Schizosaccharomyces pombe: one gene and its partner. The protein of the gene in region 1 purifies or fractionates together with the protein of each later gene. This does not show direct contact. Each region holds a gene or a part of one and is shown in the gene's direction. Other genes may lie near its edges. The genes, in order: cnx1 and pho4.

Region 1 (4,711 bases):
CAACCGTAGCCAACACTTCTTCCAATTGCTGTTGATGGTTTTGACGTTCGTAAAGCAAATCCTCAATACGTTTCTGAAGAATTTTTTCGGTTGGCGTTAAGGCAGTAGAGGAAATAGTATTCATACTGAGATTACTAGAGGACGAAACATTGGTTAATCTTGGAATAGATGATTGAAGATTAGGAGACATAGGAGGAAAACCCATTCCTATTGATGCTGCAGTTCCATCTATTTTGGGAGAAGGTGATGATGAAATAGAAGATGCAAGCTTACATTTATCGAATGGCACAAAAATGCCCGTCTTCTCGTTGTTTTTAGTTTTGAAGTATTCACGACCATCAACGACGCCTCTGTTTTTACCAAACTCGGCAAATTCAGGTAAAAGCTCCAAGCCGACATACACACCTTTTCGGTTTTCCACTTCTCCAGCATAACGGACAAACCCCCGCTCTCCGGTTATTACCTCAACGACACTGCCAAGAGGAAACATTTAGAGGAAAATTTAGGAATATTAATAAAAGATTCAAAAGTTTCTCGATGACAAAAATAGAGCTATAAGGTTTGAAGGAGTAAAGTTGAAAATGGAACGTAGAAAATGCTGACGTGGTATAAGGAATAAAAAGAAAGAGACAATTTGAAACCAAAAGATTGTAATCAAGTATTAGGGGGATAACAAAAAATTCAATTCGTAGATAAATGAATATATCTATTTGCTGCCGACAAAAGATCGTAAATTAAGTACTCAAGTAACCAATTTTCCAGCTTATTTGATTTGATATATGTTATACTAGCAGTGAGAAAGGGAGAAGAATTAAAAGAAGGTTAACCAATATCCAAAATTGAGGTAACTATTGATGAAATTACTATGGTCAAGTCTCAACTTTCCAATTAAGTTTTTAGATTATCAATTAAAGATCTTCATCTAAACAAAATTTAAAAGAAATATAATAAATACAGTTGAAAGCAAGCAAACGCACCGTGGTGTACTAATCCTATGAATATAGGTGGGTACTGGTAAAGTGGTATTTGCTCGAACTGCTTAGAGGTAACATTGCTACTTAATCAAAATTAAAAGTAAACAAAACAATGAATAAATATACTCAATACAAAATAGTTGTTTTATCACAACAACAAATCTTTGTTTACTAACTAACTCTTTAATAAAAATTATATGTATCAGATGTTGTAAAACTTATTATACTAGAGTATGAAAGCAATTTACGAAGTGCAAAGCGGTGTGTTTTTATTAATAGATATTACTCTCATAGATTTCATGTTTCAATCTGTTACCAAGACAATAGTCATCTTTCTCTTTAACCCGGTAGATATTTGCACTTAATAATGATGGACTTGCTAAAAAAATATTTGCTATTTGAGATTTTGCTAAAGGCTAACTATAAACTATTTAAAAAAAAAACATATTAAATATTGTGATTGTCCCAATTTTGAGCTAATGGTGTACGAGAATAAAAAAACTTGTTTGATACCTGACAGTTGTTATGCGTCAGACTAAAGCATATTCTAATGATTGAAGATTCAAAGACTACGAGTATAGCGCTTTCAAGGCTTTATGACTAGTGATAGTTTGTAAACTTTTATTTTATCTCATTGTTTGCATTACTCTTTTTTTTTACTTAATGGGGAGAACAATTAAAGCCAAATACTTAGTATATTAAAATGCAAACGTTTACTGTAAACATGTTACTGCAACCTTCATTATAGCAAGACATTGCGCTCCGTAATTCACAAAGTAAGAAGTAAAATAAATATAAAGATCTAATGCAAATACAACTTACCAGATAGGTCTTTCAAATCTAATCATCTAAGTTTAATGCGATTTGTTTTTCGTTCCGGAACCTTCTCCATTATTCTTTCGATTATGTTTGCTGATCCATCTCATCGATCAAAGCCGTAGTACTACCAAAACACACGCAAAACCGCGCACCGTAGTTATCAACTACACCACCCAACACGTGGAAATGAAGTACGGAAAGGTATCTTTTCTAGCGCTTTTGTGCTCTTTATATGTTCGGGGATCACTTGCTGATCCTGAATCCGAACAAGAACCTTTGGTTTTTAACCCAACTGAAGTGAAAGCGCCTCTTGTTGAGCAGTTTCAAGGTGCATGGTCTGAACGTTGGATTCCTTCACATGCTAAACGATTTGTAAATGGTATTGAAGAAATGAGCTATGTAGGTGAATGGACTGTTGAGGAAAGTTCTGGTCCCGGTGCCCTTAAGGGTGAAGCCGGTCTCGTTATGAAAGACGAAGCCGCTCATCATGCTATTTCTTATGAATTTGATGAACCCATAAATGAACCAGAAAAGGATTTGGTAGTTCAATATGAGGTTAACCCCGAAGAGGGTCTGAACTGTGGTGGTGCATATTTAAAGCTCTTAGCAGAACCCACTCATGGTGAAATGTCAAACTCCATCGATTACAGAATCATGTTTGGACCCGACAAATGTGGTGTTAATGACCGTGTTCATTTTATCTTCAAGCATAAGAATCCCCTTACGGGTGAGTATTCCGAGAAGCATCTCGACTCTAGACCCGCCAGCCTTTTGAAACCTGGTATTACAAACCTTTACACTTTAATTGTGAAGCCTGACCAAACCTTCGAAGTCCGTATTAATGGCGATGTTGTCCGTCAAGGATCTTTGTTTTATGATTTTATACCTCCTGTTCTTCCTCCCGTTGAAATTTACGATCCCGAAGATATCAAGCCTGCTGATTGGGTTGACGAACCTGAAATTCCTGACCCCAATGCGGTTAAGCCTGATGATTGGGATGAAGACGCTCCCCGTATGATTCCTGATCCTGACGCAGTGAAACCTGAGGATTGGTTAGAGGATGAACCTCTTTACATTCCTGATCCTGAAGCTCAGAAGCCTGAGGATTGGGATGATGAAGAAGATGGTGATTGGATTCCAAGTGAAATCATCAATCCTAAATGCATTGAAGGTGCTGGCTGTGGTGAATGGAAGCCACCGATGATTCGTAACCCTAACTATCGTGGCCCTTGGTCTCCTCCTATGATCCCTAATCCTGAATTCATTGGTGAATGGTATCCTCGTAAAATTCCTAACCCTGACTATTTTGATGATGATCATCCTTCTCATTTCGGTCCACTCTACGGTGTTGGTTTCGAACTTTGGACTATGCAGCCCAACATCCGCTTTAGCAATATCTATGTCGGCCATTCAATTGAGGACGCTGAACGTCTTGGAAATGAAACTTTCCTACCTAAATTGAAAGCTGAAAGAGAATTACTTTCTAAGCAAGAGTCCATGGAAAAGCAATCAATGCATGTTGACGAAGAGTCTAATCAAATTCTTGAGAAGTTTCTTGACGTATATGATATTATTAAAGCTAAACTTCCTCCAAATGTTGCCGAAAAAGTTGACTACTATGTTGAAACCATCATCGAGACTCCTGAAATTGGGATTGCAATTGTTGCCGTTCTTGGCTCTTTAACCGCTGTTATTCTTACTTGTTACTTTTATTTCTTTGCTTCCTCTTCCCCGGCTTCTTTATCTACTGGAACTACGGAAGCTGAGAAAGAGCAGCAAGAGAAGTTTAAGCAAGAGACTGAGACTGAGAAGATAGACGTTTCTTACGCTCCCGAAACTGAATCACCAACTGCGAAGAATGAAGACTAATGAAACTGCTAAAATGTCAAAAGTTTTTCTTATTTTAAGAATCGCATAGAAGTTGCAATAAACTACTTCCTGTTCCTTTGTGGACTTTTGACTGAAGTAAATGAATATATCAATATATATACTCACTAATACAGCATATTTTGTTTACAAAGTTTGACTCAAAGTAGCGACTCTGTTAAAAGCCTTAGTCTAATTATAAAATACTTGAAAATGTTTTCTCTAGTTCTTATTATGAGTAATATCAATAAATAGACTATGAATTTATAAATCGTGGGTAGTACTATCAAAAAACTTTTTACAACTGCGCATTAGTCGTCAGAGAGAAATGATCAGGCATTTCCCATAAACAAGTGCAAGTAATGCGTGAAATTCTGCAATCAAGAGAAAGGATGTTTGTCTACATATCTTGTGAGAATAGTAGAATAAATTGTCAAACTAAAAAGTTCGTTTACTATACGGGATTCAGACATTTTATTGTCCTCAAACAAAATATCGTAACGTTACCTTGAAATGATTGAACAATAATTTGAAGGAAACCACCCAGTCTCGCCAGATCTCTTTCTTCCTTGCCACCATTCGCAAGGATTACCTTGGGTGTCTGTTTTAGATAGAATTGCTATGATATCTCCTTTTTTTAAAGACATTTCCACTCCCGGATCTCTGGACATAAACTCATAATCAGCCTTGCAAAACTCAAGACTATCAATTTTTTTTCTGATTTTTGCTTGTTGAATCTGTTTTTCTTTTTCATAAATATTTTTGAATAACCTAATTATTGCATAAGGTAAGCCCACCAACCCAAGAATAATTGCCAAGCTACTGACAATTGAATATATTGAATTTTTATGGTTTCCTTCCTCCTTCTCAAATACATCATATTCTTGTGAATTCATTTCATCGATTTTAGAATGCTTGAAGAACTTTAAAACTAGGCGTTTAAGCCGCGACAACAATGAAACAATACCAAATATTGCACCAATAGACGATTTTAGTTTGTTCAGATTTTCACTCACAGAAACAAATGTATTATAACTCATGTGAGCAGCCAT
Region 2 (4,063 bases), on another chromosome or scaffold:
TAATAAAATATGTTAAAATAAAAATTGGAAGATGAGTTGAAATAAACGGTTCTATAAACAAAACTCATTTAAAGAAAGAACTGGCAAACAGATTATGTCAACATATCTCATCTAATATCGAGACTACTGATAAAAAAATCTAATTTGCTAATGACTACAAGCTTTTATTGTTTACTCTTTGTTGCTTACAGTTCTAGTCAAAGGAGGTATTTTATTTTCGTATTTCGCTGTACATAGCATAATTTCATGAAATGCTTTTCTCTATAAATATGCTTTTATAAAGAACTAGTTAATAAAAAATTGCTTATTTCTAAGCTCTTTTAGGATTAGTAATATATAAAAAGGAAGATAAGTATTTTTATCCCTTTTTAACTGGATTGTTATTACTATAAAAGAAAGACTCTTACGGTTGATAATAAAAGCGTAGAGATCAGAAGATAAAAGTAGAATTCACCGCCTATATTTCCTTTGGAATAAATATCCAACAGTATACTTACTATTATAGAGAGAAAATTAATTTCCCTTTGCCCTTTATCATATAAAATGGTTCTTTTTATGCTGAGTGCCTAGCATAATTCCTTCCTTTTCGAAATATCAAAAGGCTTGTGAGACTTCAATTGGTAAATGCTTTAAAGTGAGTTATTACTAGCTCGCTTCAACCACTTCAGCTTGATTCTCCAATAACCGAGTTTTCAAAAGTACTCATTCTTGCAATTGCTATAAAATTTTTATCTTTATTTATACCATTACCATTGTAATATTGTTATAAGGCATCGCTTTACTTACTGAACATAAAAAAAATCTTCATCATAAAATTAATTAAATGTCAGAATAGAAAAAAGTGTTTAGAGGGTCCAACCGTACAAACAAACAACTTTTACGTTTTTAACATTTTCATTTCTTCAATAACCCCACAGTTGTTTTAAGCTATTACTTAAGCGAGGGCTGCACATGACAATGTGGCTAGTATACCCTTTATATACATTTTGAATATGCATATGAAACCCATTATATTAACGCTGGAATAGCGGGAATGCTTGTTTATTATATTAATTTATTCTATTGGAATGAATAAATCTTTTTTCTGGACATTTAAGAACGGCATGAAACAAGTAGCTCTAATAAATTAAATTGTTGGATCTTACTAAAGACTAAATATTAATAATAATTTTCTCCCAAGCTATTTATATACATATTAGAAGCAATTTGCAAAGATAGCAGACTAATACTCTTCAATGCCCAACTTCTTATTAGTGATATACATGTAAAAATATCTTTATTATGCAATATTATGTAGCAGCTCGTACAATGTTTGCACATCTTTACACAATAGTATTCATTTTGTATTACATTATCATTTATAATTCCATTTCACAGAGAGTAGGCATTGCTATTATATAATATAAATTTATATAAAACAAAAAGACTGCAAAATCATTTCCAACTGAAACTTCGTTCTTTAGTTCTATTAAATTATTAAGTATTGGAATATCAGATTTTTGTAAGTTCAGTAATAATAATATCATTATATTACACCGTTGTATTATTAATCGCATAATATTACTGTAACACTTTGTCCGTAATTTGCATCGTTATTTCAGTTAACAATTGTGGGTCCAAAATCTTAAAGTCTAATAGCGAACTACACCAGGTTTGCAACTTCATTCATTTTTTTTAATTCCAATGTAGTCGTGCCGAAATCAGACTTTGGTTTGGTGGTAGCCGGGGTGCTTAGTGTTAGCAGATATCCGGATTGATTGTATATAAATATCTGCTGCTTCTTGCGCTTAGAATAGTCATCTTTTGACTGTTTATTTTAGACTTTTCCTACTTCAAATAATCAAAGTTCGTTGATTGAATAGACTACCGTTCGTTTCAACCCGCTTTTAAATATTCGATCGTTATTTTTTTTGCTATTGAATCGCTGGTCGTTGGTTGATTCATACACAGTAAATTTCTTTCTTGTGGTTTTATTGGGTCTGCTTGGGTTACATAAATTCATTGTTTTTTCTCGATGAAGTTAAGTGGTATTTCTCTATGGCTTTTGGCCGCATCCATCGTTCATGCTGGTAAATCTCAATTTGAGGCATTTGAAAATGAGTTTTATTTCAAGGACCATCTTGGAACGATTAGTGTATATCATGAACCCTACTTTAATGGGCCCACTACCTCCTTCCCCGAATCTTGTGCAATTAAACAGGTTCATTTGCTTCAGCGTCATGGATCTCGAAACCCGACTGGGGATGACACTGCCACTGATGTCTCTAGTGCGCAATATATAGATATTTTTCAAAACAAGCTTCTAAATGGCTCAATTCCGGTAAATTTTAGCTATCCTGAAAATCCTCTTTACTTCGTTAAACATTGGACTCCTGTGATAAAGGCTGAAAATGCCGACCAGTTGTCCAGCAGCGGTCGAATTGAACTTTTTGACTTGGGCCGTCAAGTTTTTGAGCGCTACTATGAGCTTTTCGACACTGATGTCTACGATATCAATACTGCTGCTCAAGAACGTGTTGTCGACTCTGCAGAATGGTTTAGTTATGGAATGTTTGGCGATGATATGCAGAACAAAACCAACTTCATCGTTCTTCCGGAAGACGATTCTGCGGGTGCAAACTCCTTAGCTATGTATTACTCTTGTCCCGTTTATGAAGACAACAATATTGATGAAAACACTACTGAAGCCGCCCATACTAGTTGGCGTAATGTTTTTCTCAAGCCTATCGCCAATCGCTTAAACAAATACTTTGATAGCGGTTATAATCTTACGGTTTCGGATGTTCGCAGTCTTTACTATATTTGTGTATACGAGATCGCTCTCAGAGATAACAGCGATTTCTGTTCACTCTTTACTCCCTCTGAATTTTTGAATTTTGAATATGACAGTGACCTTGACTACGCATATTGGGGTGGTCCCGCTTCAGAATGGGCTTCCACATTAGGTGGGGCTTATGTTAATAACCTTGCAAATAATCTTCGTAAGGGTGTGAATAATGCTTCCGATCGTAAGGTATTCTTAGCGTTTACCCACGACTCTCAAATTATTCCAGTCGAGGCTGCTCTTGGGTTTTTCCCCGACATTACTCCTGAGCACCCTCTACCGACTGACAAAAACATTTTTACATACTCATTAAAAACCTCTTCGTTCGTTCCCTTCGCAGGAAACTTAATTACTGAACTTTTCTTATGTTCTGATAATAAATACTATGTACGCCATCTCGTCAACCAGCAAGTATACCCCCTTACTGATTGCGGTTATGGTCCTAGTGGTGCTTCAGATGGGTTATGCGAGTTGAGCGCTTACTTGAATTCTTCGGTTCGTGTTAATTCTACCTCTAATGGTATTGCTAATTTTAACTCGCAATGTCAGGCGCATTCCACCAACGTTACCGTCTACTACTAGACTTAGCATCTTATATTATTGTTAACACAATTGGGTCCTTAGGAATAATATAGATAATTTTTAACTATAGTAATAGCTTATGTATAAGACTTAGGTATTAAGGAGGAAAAGTAGAGCGAACAGAAAGTGAGCATTTATATATTCAAGAAAGACTTACGAGACATAGTATAAACGAGTTGTGTCAGTGTTTGAACAAAAAAGGAAATACTTATAGTTTTAAATGCCTAGTACGAAATCTATAACCTTCACTCGTACCGCCTTTAGGTGAAGCTAATTCTTCAATTCGACTTACTTCAAAGCCTTTCAAGTGACTCCGTAGCTTTTGTAATTCCTTTCCAAATCATTAATATTAATAGGTCGGGATAAATCTTAAACATTTCTCAAGATATAACGCGTACATTAACGATTCCTTTTGGCGTCAACAACTCACCTTTTACCACACACGAACGACACAAAAGTTTAATAGAATTCATTTAAAATATTTGAAAGTCATGTAATTTGCCAAAAAAAAAATCCCTAGTCCTCCTTTTCCATTACACGGATAAAAGAATCAATCAATCCCTTTTTTTAAACCCTTTAATATCTGTAGCTCTATAAATCAAAATGAACATTGCCATGAGATGTTCCAAATGATAAAACTAAGGCTTCGCGTAAGAA

The links.
Region 2: the proteins of cnx1 (region 1) and pho4 purify together in Schizosaccharomyces pombe (affinity purification with western blotting, with the first as the bait; one study listed by BioGRID). This does not show direct contact.

What each region holds. Positions count from the first base shown.
Region 1 is NC_003424.3:2,085,566-2,090,276, reverse strand, and holds cnx1 (calnexin Cnx1), read left to right. Parts: upstream 1-1,952; 5' UTR 1,953-1,979; coding exon 1,980-3,662; 3' UTR 3,663-3,884; downstream 3,885-4,711. Other genes in the region: CLIP170 family protein Tip1, read right to left, coding at 1-490; pex13 (peroxin 13), read right to left, coding at 4,163-4,711.
Region 2 is NC_003423.3:444,760-448,822, reverse strand, and holds pho4 (thiamine-repressible acid phosphatase Pho4), read left to right. Parts: upstream 1-1,794; 5' UTR 1,795-2,014; coding exon 2,015-3,406; 3' UTR 3,407-3,499; downstream 3,500-4,063. UniProt on the Schizosaccharomyces pombe protein: May dephosphorylate thiamine phosphates.